Linked DNA regions of Neurospora crassa OR74A. Each later gene encodes a partner of the first gene's protein in a complex. Links are inferred from orthologs where the notes say so. Each region holds a gene or a part of one and is shown in the gene's direction. Other genes may lie near its edges.

Region 1 (3,860 bases):
AGGTGCTCCTCCCAGTACTTGCCCGTCGTGACAATGCCCCATTTCTTCGTCGGGCCCGTGAGCAGCGACAGGCAAGTGAGGACGGATGCTTCAAAGATGCCCGTGACGGAGAGGGGAAAGCCGTTGGATGAAGCGAGTTCCGAGAGGCCGGGGACGAGTTGGTGCACGGAGTAGCAGCATACTAGGACGGCGTCGTGGTCTTTGAGGAGTTGAAGGTTGCTGCTGAGGTCTTGGAGGACGTGGGTGGCGGAGGTATCCAGGTCGGTGCCGTTGTTGATGCTGGCTGGACAAGAGGTAGGGGCTGTGTAGTAGGTGATTTTGATGTTCTGGAGGGGGGTGTTAGTCCACGTTTTCGGTTATTAGGGGTGGAGGAGAGAAGGGAAGACAGACGTCGGGGAGGTTTAGGCTGGAAATAGACTTTGCCATGCCATCGGTCATGGACTTGGAGGAGTTGGGGTTGAGGATCAGGATCCTGATTGGTTCTTGCTGGGCGGTAGTCATGTTGACGAAGGAAGGGGGGTGAGTGAGTGAGGTGAATCGATAAATGGTCTGAGAGGGAAATAGTCAGGTCTGAGTCCATTTTGGGAGGTATCATGAAGTACTCAGTTTGAAAGATTGACGATGGTAGAACCTGAATGGGAACAACCTACTAGTATCGTAATGAGTTGGTAAAATACCGATTGTATCGACGGCCTGAGTGAGAAAGAATAAGGCAACAAAGGGTCTGATAACCACAAATGAAGAATCAAAAAAAGAAGGGACGGGAAGAACCAATATCAATCTCCACTCTCAAATGCACAATCCATCCCGTCTGATCTCTCACGATGCCCAACAAGGTGCATGTACTACTGAAGGTACAAGTGCGAGTCTCATGCGGGGTATCACGTGGGTACCCTAATGCCTGCCACTTCCTTGGGGTCCAGAATCCTGCCAAGACCCGCTTGTCATCGGCGCTCGTCCTGGTCAAAATAATCGAGACCTTTGACATGATACCTTGGCTCCTTGGGTATACTGCTGACTCTCAAGTTCTAGGCAATTACAGAATGAAAATGTGTAAATAGGGCTCTAGCTGAGGTCTTTTTGAATTGTTATATTCCCTGTCACGGTCTTGCAGCGGTCTTTTCTATGATCTTGACGTCTAGTGAACTGGTTTACCTAGCCTGCTCGCTCGTCTCCTTTATTTTGGCTCAGACGAGCGGCGCCCTGTTTGAAGGAAAGCTTGGCAGTTAGCGAATGACCCCACATATCGATGCTACCCCCCCAGCTAGGCTACCGCGCTGGACTCCAGCTAATTACGGTGCCGTAGTCCACTTCGCTACCGTAACCCGGACAGGGCACCGACACCACTGCACCGACCGACCGACGGGACCACCGACACTTGGTTCCTGTTGATTCACCCGCGGGAGCTTTCCATTCTAGCTCCGATATACACTCGATATTCGAAACCCCGACGAAGCTATTCGCAACTCCATTGAAAGTTACCAAACCAAACAGCCGCCCAGCATGGCCAACACCGACGCTCCCATTGGTACGTCAGCTCTTCTCTCCGCCAACAACCCCTTATCCATCTGGTGTCTCGAGCTCAAGCTACCTTGACGACCACCAACACCACCACCACCCACCCATCTGCCTGACCGCGTCATCACCGTCGCCATGGCAGCTGTAGCCGTCGGACTCCGTCCTCAATCACTTCCACTTCACAACAACAAAATGAGCACAGCGCCCAGCTAACACTTCCCCCCTCGAACACAGTCCTCGATGGCGGTACCGGCTTCCTCAAGGTCGGCTACGCCGCCCAGAATTTCCCCGAATTCCAATACCCCTCGATAGTCGGCCGCCCCATTCTCCGCGCCGAAGAAGCCAAATCGCTTTCCGACTCCTCCGACATTGTGATCAAAGACATCATGTGCGGTGACGAGGCCGCGGCCGCCCGTACCATGCTCCAAATCAGCTACCCGATGGAGAACGGCATCGTCAAGAAGTGGGACGACATGCAGCACCTATGGGACTACACTTTTCACGAGAAGATGAAGGTCGATACGCGGGGAAGAAAGATCTTGTTGACGGAGCCGCCTTTGAACCCGTTGAAGAACAGGGAGCAGATGACCGAAGTCATGTTTGAGCGCTACGACTTTGGGGGTGTCTATGTCGCTATCCAGGCGGTGCTGGCATTGTATGCTCAGGGTATGTCACCGCTCCTTTACACGGCGACTTGAGGAAACAAGTAGCTGACAGACAACGCGCAGGTCTCTCCTCTGGTGTCGTAGTCGACTCGGGCGACGGTGTCACGCATATCGTTCCTGTCTACGAATCCGTGGTCCTCAACCACCTTACCCGCCGCCTCGATGTGGCCGGCCGCGACGTCACCCGCAACCTGATCGCCCTCCTTCTCCGCCGCGGCTACGCCCTCAACCGTACTGCCGACTTCGAGACCGTCCGCCAGATCAAGGAAAAGCTCTGCTACGTCTCGTACGACCTCGAGCTCGACAAGCGCCTGTCCGAAGATACCACCGTCCTCGTCGAGAGCTACACCCTTCCCGACGGCCGCGTCATCCGCGTCGGCTCCGAGCGGTTCGAGGCCCCCGAGTGCTTGTTCCAGCCGCACTTGGTGGATTGCGACCAGCCGGGTATCGCCGAATTCCTCTTCAACACCATCCAGGCCGCCGATGTTGACGTGCGCTCCTCGCTATTCAAGGCGATCGTCCTGTCGGGTGGTTCCAGCATGTACCCCGGCCTTCCAAGCAGACTGGAGAAGGAACTGAAGCAGCTGTGGTTGACGCGCGTGCTGGGAGGCAACCCCGAGAGGCTGAGCAAGTTCAAGGTCAGGATCGAGGACCCGCCGAGAAGAAGGCATATGGTCTTCTTGGGTGGTGCGGTGCTGGCGAATATCATGGCGGATAAGGAGAGCATGTGGATTACGAAGCAGGAGTGGGAAGAACAGGGCGCGAGGGTGTTGGAGAAGTTGGGTCCTAGGTAAGGGACTACCGAGGGTGAAGCTGTTTAGACTACAATAGCAGGCGATATAATGTTTTCCGTTGGTAGGTAAATAAAGGATAATGCGAGAGTTTGTTAGAGCTTGCTTGGGCTGGTGTAATTTTGTTGGTCCCGACAGGAGAAATCGAACAATGGCCTTGTGTCAAGAGTCATGGTCTTTTGGGATACCATGAAAGAAGTCCCCAATATCACAACGGCGCCAACATCAAGCAAGATGCGGACAGCGGAACGGGACGGTCCCGGACAAACATCGGGAAGACGGAAAGGTGAAATGGTCCACCCCCACTTGTTGGACATCGATACGGTACGCTAAGGCTGGCGGCGATACAGTGGCTTATCAGAGCTGACACACTAACAGAAGCAAACATCATCAGATCTCTGCTAGCCTGACATGTCGCTGGTGACGAAAAGGGTAATTGATGTTATTGTTTTCCTTCGTGTGTCACTTTGTTCTTGCCTTTGCGACAACAATATCAATCCAGCTCGTCGTCAAAATCCCCAGACCTGTCGTGTTCCCAGATCCTCACCGGCCATCTTTACTCGATTTCTCCAAACTCTCAAGCCCGGCTTCCATCGCCCAGCTACCGGCCACGCTAACACACCGTCTCCGCTCATCCATTCCCGAGTCTCACAGTGGTTTTCCCCCCGGGCCCGTGCAGATCGGGTACGGCTCAGATGACATGCCTCCGAAACCGAAATGTGAGTCGATGAACTTGATCCAATTCCTTCATTCAAAACATCATCCAGCCCTCCCAGCATGATCCCTTCAGTGTGTATCTTGTGCCCGGTTATATAGTTTATTTTCTCCAAATTCCCGAGAGCATCTTCAAACACAAAACAGACGGGCGGTGACTGCCCAGCCTCTC
Region 2 (3,176 bases), on another chromosome or scaffold:
GGGGTTTGTCCGGGTTCTTGTGTTTGTCTTTGGGCGTGAAGAAGCGGAGGGCTGGTTTTAATGAACGATTGAAGAAGGCAGTTGTAGGTAGAGGAGAGAACCGTGACGCAGTGAGTGATGTGATGGGACTGGAGAACCCCAAATACCCCTCCATCACCCTTTCTCAGTGGACGGCGCACGACGGCGCTTTTGATTCCGCGTTGGTGCGTACACTACTATCACAGTACCTCTAAGCAGCGTAGTAGCGCTCTCGACTGGTGGTGTGCCTGTCGGGTGTGTGGCAGTCCCCGGCCGGATTTGCGTCGGATGAACAATTGCGCCAACAACAGCCAGCCAAGTCTGGACTGCTGGCTGATTTCATCATCTACGACGCGCTAGCACACGAGCTCCCGTGACTTATTGTCTTGGCATCCCCTCTTGTTTCTTCAATGTTTCTGCTTTCTGAGTCTTCTCCTCTCTCCTTGACGACGGGCCCCCCTGTTGTTCAAACAGGCAGCGGTGGGCGCAGCGCGGCGTTCACGGTGTTGAACTTCGTCCTATCCAACCAACATTCAGGTGTTGGCTCTCTTCCAGGTTGTTGGACTCGACCACGGCGTGAACCTCGGTCAATCTTCTTCCTTGAAAAATTCCGCCATAATGAGTAATGATGGGATGGATCCTTGGAACACCATCTTGAGCATGGAGTCCTGCTCTTTGTCTGGATTCCGAGACACAGCAGCTTAAGTTGCATGGAAAGCGGGCGCTCACGTCGAACGCGGTGGCTGACTACATGACACGTGAAGAGTCTTTGTGTAACTGAATCTTCCTCTGTATACCAATGGAGTGGCATTTTGACTTGTTCACATTCGCTCTCCTCCTTCAGATGATGCATTGTGCAAGACCTTCCGATTCCCCCGGGACTAGGTGGCTCCACTTCAGGCCGCAAAGATCCACTTTATCGGAGTCAAGCGAGCTGCTGCCTGTCCGATGACGAGGCCGGCTCCGGTAACTCTACACGTGATGGGAACCGGGAGTGCTTCATTGACTGTACCAGGCCTCATCCGGAGTCCGGACACAGCCACTGCTGAGCCACAAATTCAAATAGAAAGGTAACGCACAGACCAAGTCCAGCTCTACTGTCACAGAGTCCGTCACAGCGGCACGGTGCAAGCAGCGGTCGTCACCGCCAGCTCGACGTCAGCGCAGGAGAAGCCGCCATCGCCCATCGCTGGCACGCTGCAGGTCCAGGAAGGCCAGCCCAAGTCCAATTGACCCCATCACCCCGCAAGGCTGCGCCATAGAACCCGGACGCGGTCAAGTCAACACGACATCCCAGATTTACCTAACTTCCAACTTGAACACCATTTGCTTAATCTGGTAATAGCTTCATAGAGGGAGCTTGACACCAACCGTCACAATGCCGGTAAGCGCACCCATTCGCAAGCTCCCAACACCCAGCCGCTATGCGTATAGCTTCCCCAAGCTATACCAGCCAGCCAGCCAGCTACCCCTTAATCGTCAGACAAAGCTTCGTCCATGATCGCATCACCACCACCCACAACACCACGAACCGCTTTGCGCCCAATCGCATTTCTTCGCCTCTCGCCTCACCTCACACACAAATTCCCATTCTCAATCTCTCAACTAACGACGCCACTCTCTAGGCCTACAACTCCGTCTTCAACGCCGACCCCTCCCCCCGCCTAATCGGCAACTTCCCTCTCTTCCCGCTTCGCACCAAGATCCGCGGGCCGATCTACCCTCTCCCCTTCCCGGACCCTCCGCTCGCCGCCAACGAGTCGCCCGACCCGGACTCGGAGTCATACGACATTCTGGACGAGACGCTAGCTCTCTTCCGCGCCAACACCTTTTTCCGCAACTTTGAGATCCAGGGCCCCGCCGACCGCCTGCTGGTCTACGGCATCTGGTACATCAGCGACTGTCTGGGCCGCATCAAGCCGCACTATGGCGTTAGGGAGGCGACGAAGGAAGTGAACAATGCGGCGCTGGATGTGAACTTTGCGTTGCCGGGCGATCCTGGGTGGCCTTTGAATCAGGTGAGTTTTTTTGGCGTAAAGGATTTAGGGCGGAGATAGAATACGGTGAATGTGATGGGAGTAGATGTGGCCCGCGGCGGTGAACAAGAAAATGGATGGCAGCTAATAAGTTTGACGCAAAACAGATGTATGAACCCCCCCGCGACCGTCAAGACGCAGAAGTCCTCCGTCAGTACCTGTCGCAGGTCCGGCAGGAACTGGCGCAGAGGTTATTGGCGCGCGTGTACGACGACGAGACCGAGGACAAGCCGAGCAAGTGGTGGTTGAGCTTTACCAAGAGGAAGTTCATGGGCAAGGGACTCTGATGCGATGCCTTCCCTGTTCAGATGGCGTTGCATGGAATCGTTTAGCGCCAAAGTATAATACGTACTCTACACAAATAATATTTCAAGTTTCCTAGAGTGTGAGGGTGTGTTGGGGCGAGCGAGCAAGACTTTCAGTTGTTGTTGTTTTTGCGTGGTCCGGTTCGATCAGGCATAGATCGAGTACACATACACTTGAAACCCGATCATGAGCGACATGGGTTATATCTCCAGTTGACGTTCGATTAGTAGAATTACTGCAGCTCTATTTCGTGCAAATGGTATCTAAGAGCAAACGAGATCTATGCATATCGGTCATGCTGGTTCTCCTAACTGCTACCACTATCAGACTCCTGCTCATTGTTTGCCCGCCTTTCATGGACAAAGCATAATCATTTAAACCCATGGTCGCCTCCACTCCTCCTCGGCTGGTCGAGTCCACCTACTGTAAGCGAGCCTCGAAACGCTCTAACTGTCTTTTCCTTTCTGACTTTCCCTCGACCTCATTGCTTCCGTGGAAACCTCTGTGTGAGATCTTCCGATGCACGGGGAGAGAAGTGGCATCCTTGAACTCCCATAAATAACTCTTTCCGACCAATCCACTCATGCCGAAGCCGGCGTCGAAACGCTCTCCTCCACCTTTCTCCTCTTAAATTTGCCCTTGGCCGCAATCTTGCCCTCCGCTGGCTTCGCTCTCCATCCAGTAAAGATATATCCATCCGCACCACCGCGCTCCGTCATCAACGGATGCGTCCTGCCCGGCAACACCTGCCACCTCCTCGCCCTGCTAGTCTGGATGCTTGTGCCCAGTAACAGCGTGGGGTTGAGAGGGAACTGC

Evidence for each region. Proteins that work in one complex are often made in the same cells at the same time.
Region 2: arp2 (region 1) and NCU09572 share a complex: the UniProt entries of both Saccharomyces cerevisiae proteins name them as parts of the arp2/3 complex. The link is inferred for Neurospora crassa OR74A from reciprocal best matches to the Saccharomyces cerevisiae genes ARP2 and ARC18.

Annotation. Positions count from the first base shown.
Region 1 is NC_026505.1:6,357,608-6,361,467, reverse strand, and holds arp2 (actin-6), read left to right. Parts: upstream 1-1,300; 5' UTR 1,301-1,503; coding exon 1,504-1,528; intron 1,529-1,752; coding exon 1,753-2,184; intron 2,185-2,246; coding exon 2,247-2,977; 3' UTR 2,978-3,360; downstream 3,361-3,860. Other genes in the region: NCU07170 (hydantoin racemase), read right to left, coding at 1-326, 391-501. UniProt on the Saccharomyces cerevisiae protein: Functions as ATP-binding component of the Arp2/3 complex which is involved in regulation of actin polymerization and together with an activating nucleation-promoting factor (NPF) mediates the formation of branched actin networks.
Region 2 is NC_026507.1:963,372-966,547, forward strand, and holds NCU09572 (ARP2/3 complex 21 kDa subunit), read left to right. Parts: upstream 1-1,142; 5' UTR 1,143-1,396; coding exon 1,397-1,402; intron 1,403-1,643; coding exon 1,644-2,036; intron 2,037-2,161; coding exon 2,162-2,341; 3' UTR 2,342-2,676; downstream 2,677-3,176. Other genes in the region: NCU09571 (tRNA (adenine-N(1)-)-methyltransferase non-catalytic subunit trm6), read right to left, coding at 2,942-3,176. UniProt on the Saccharomyces cerevisiae protein: Functions as a component of the Arp2/3 complex which is involved in regulation of actin polymerization and together with an activating nucleation-promoting factor (NPF) mediates the formation of branched actin networks.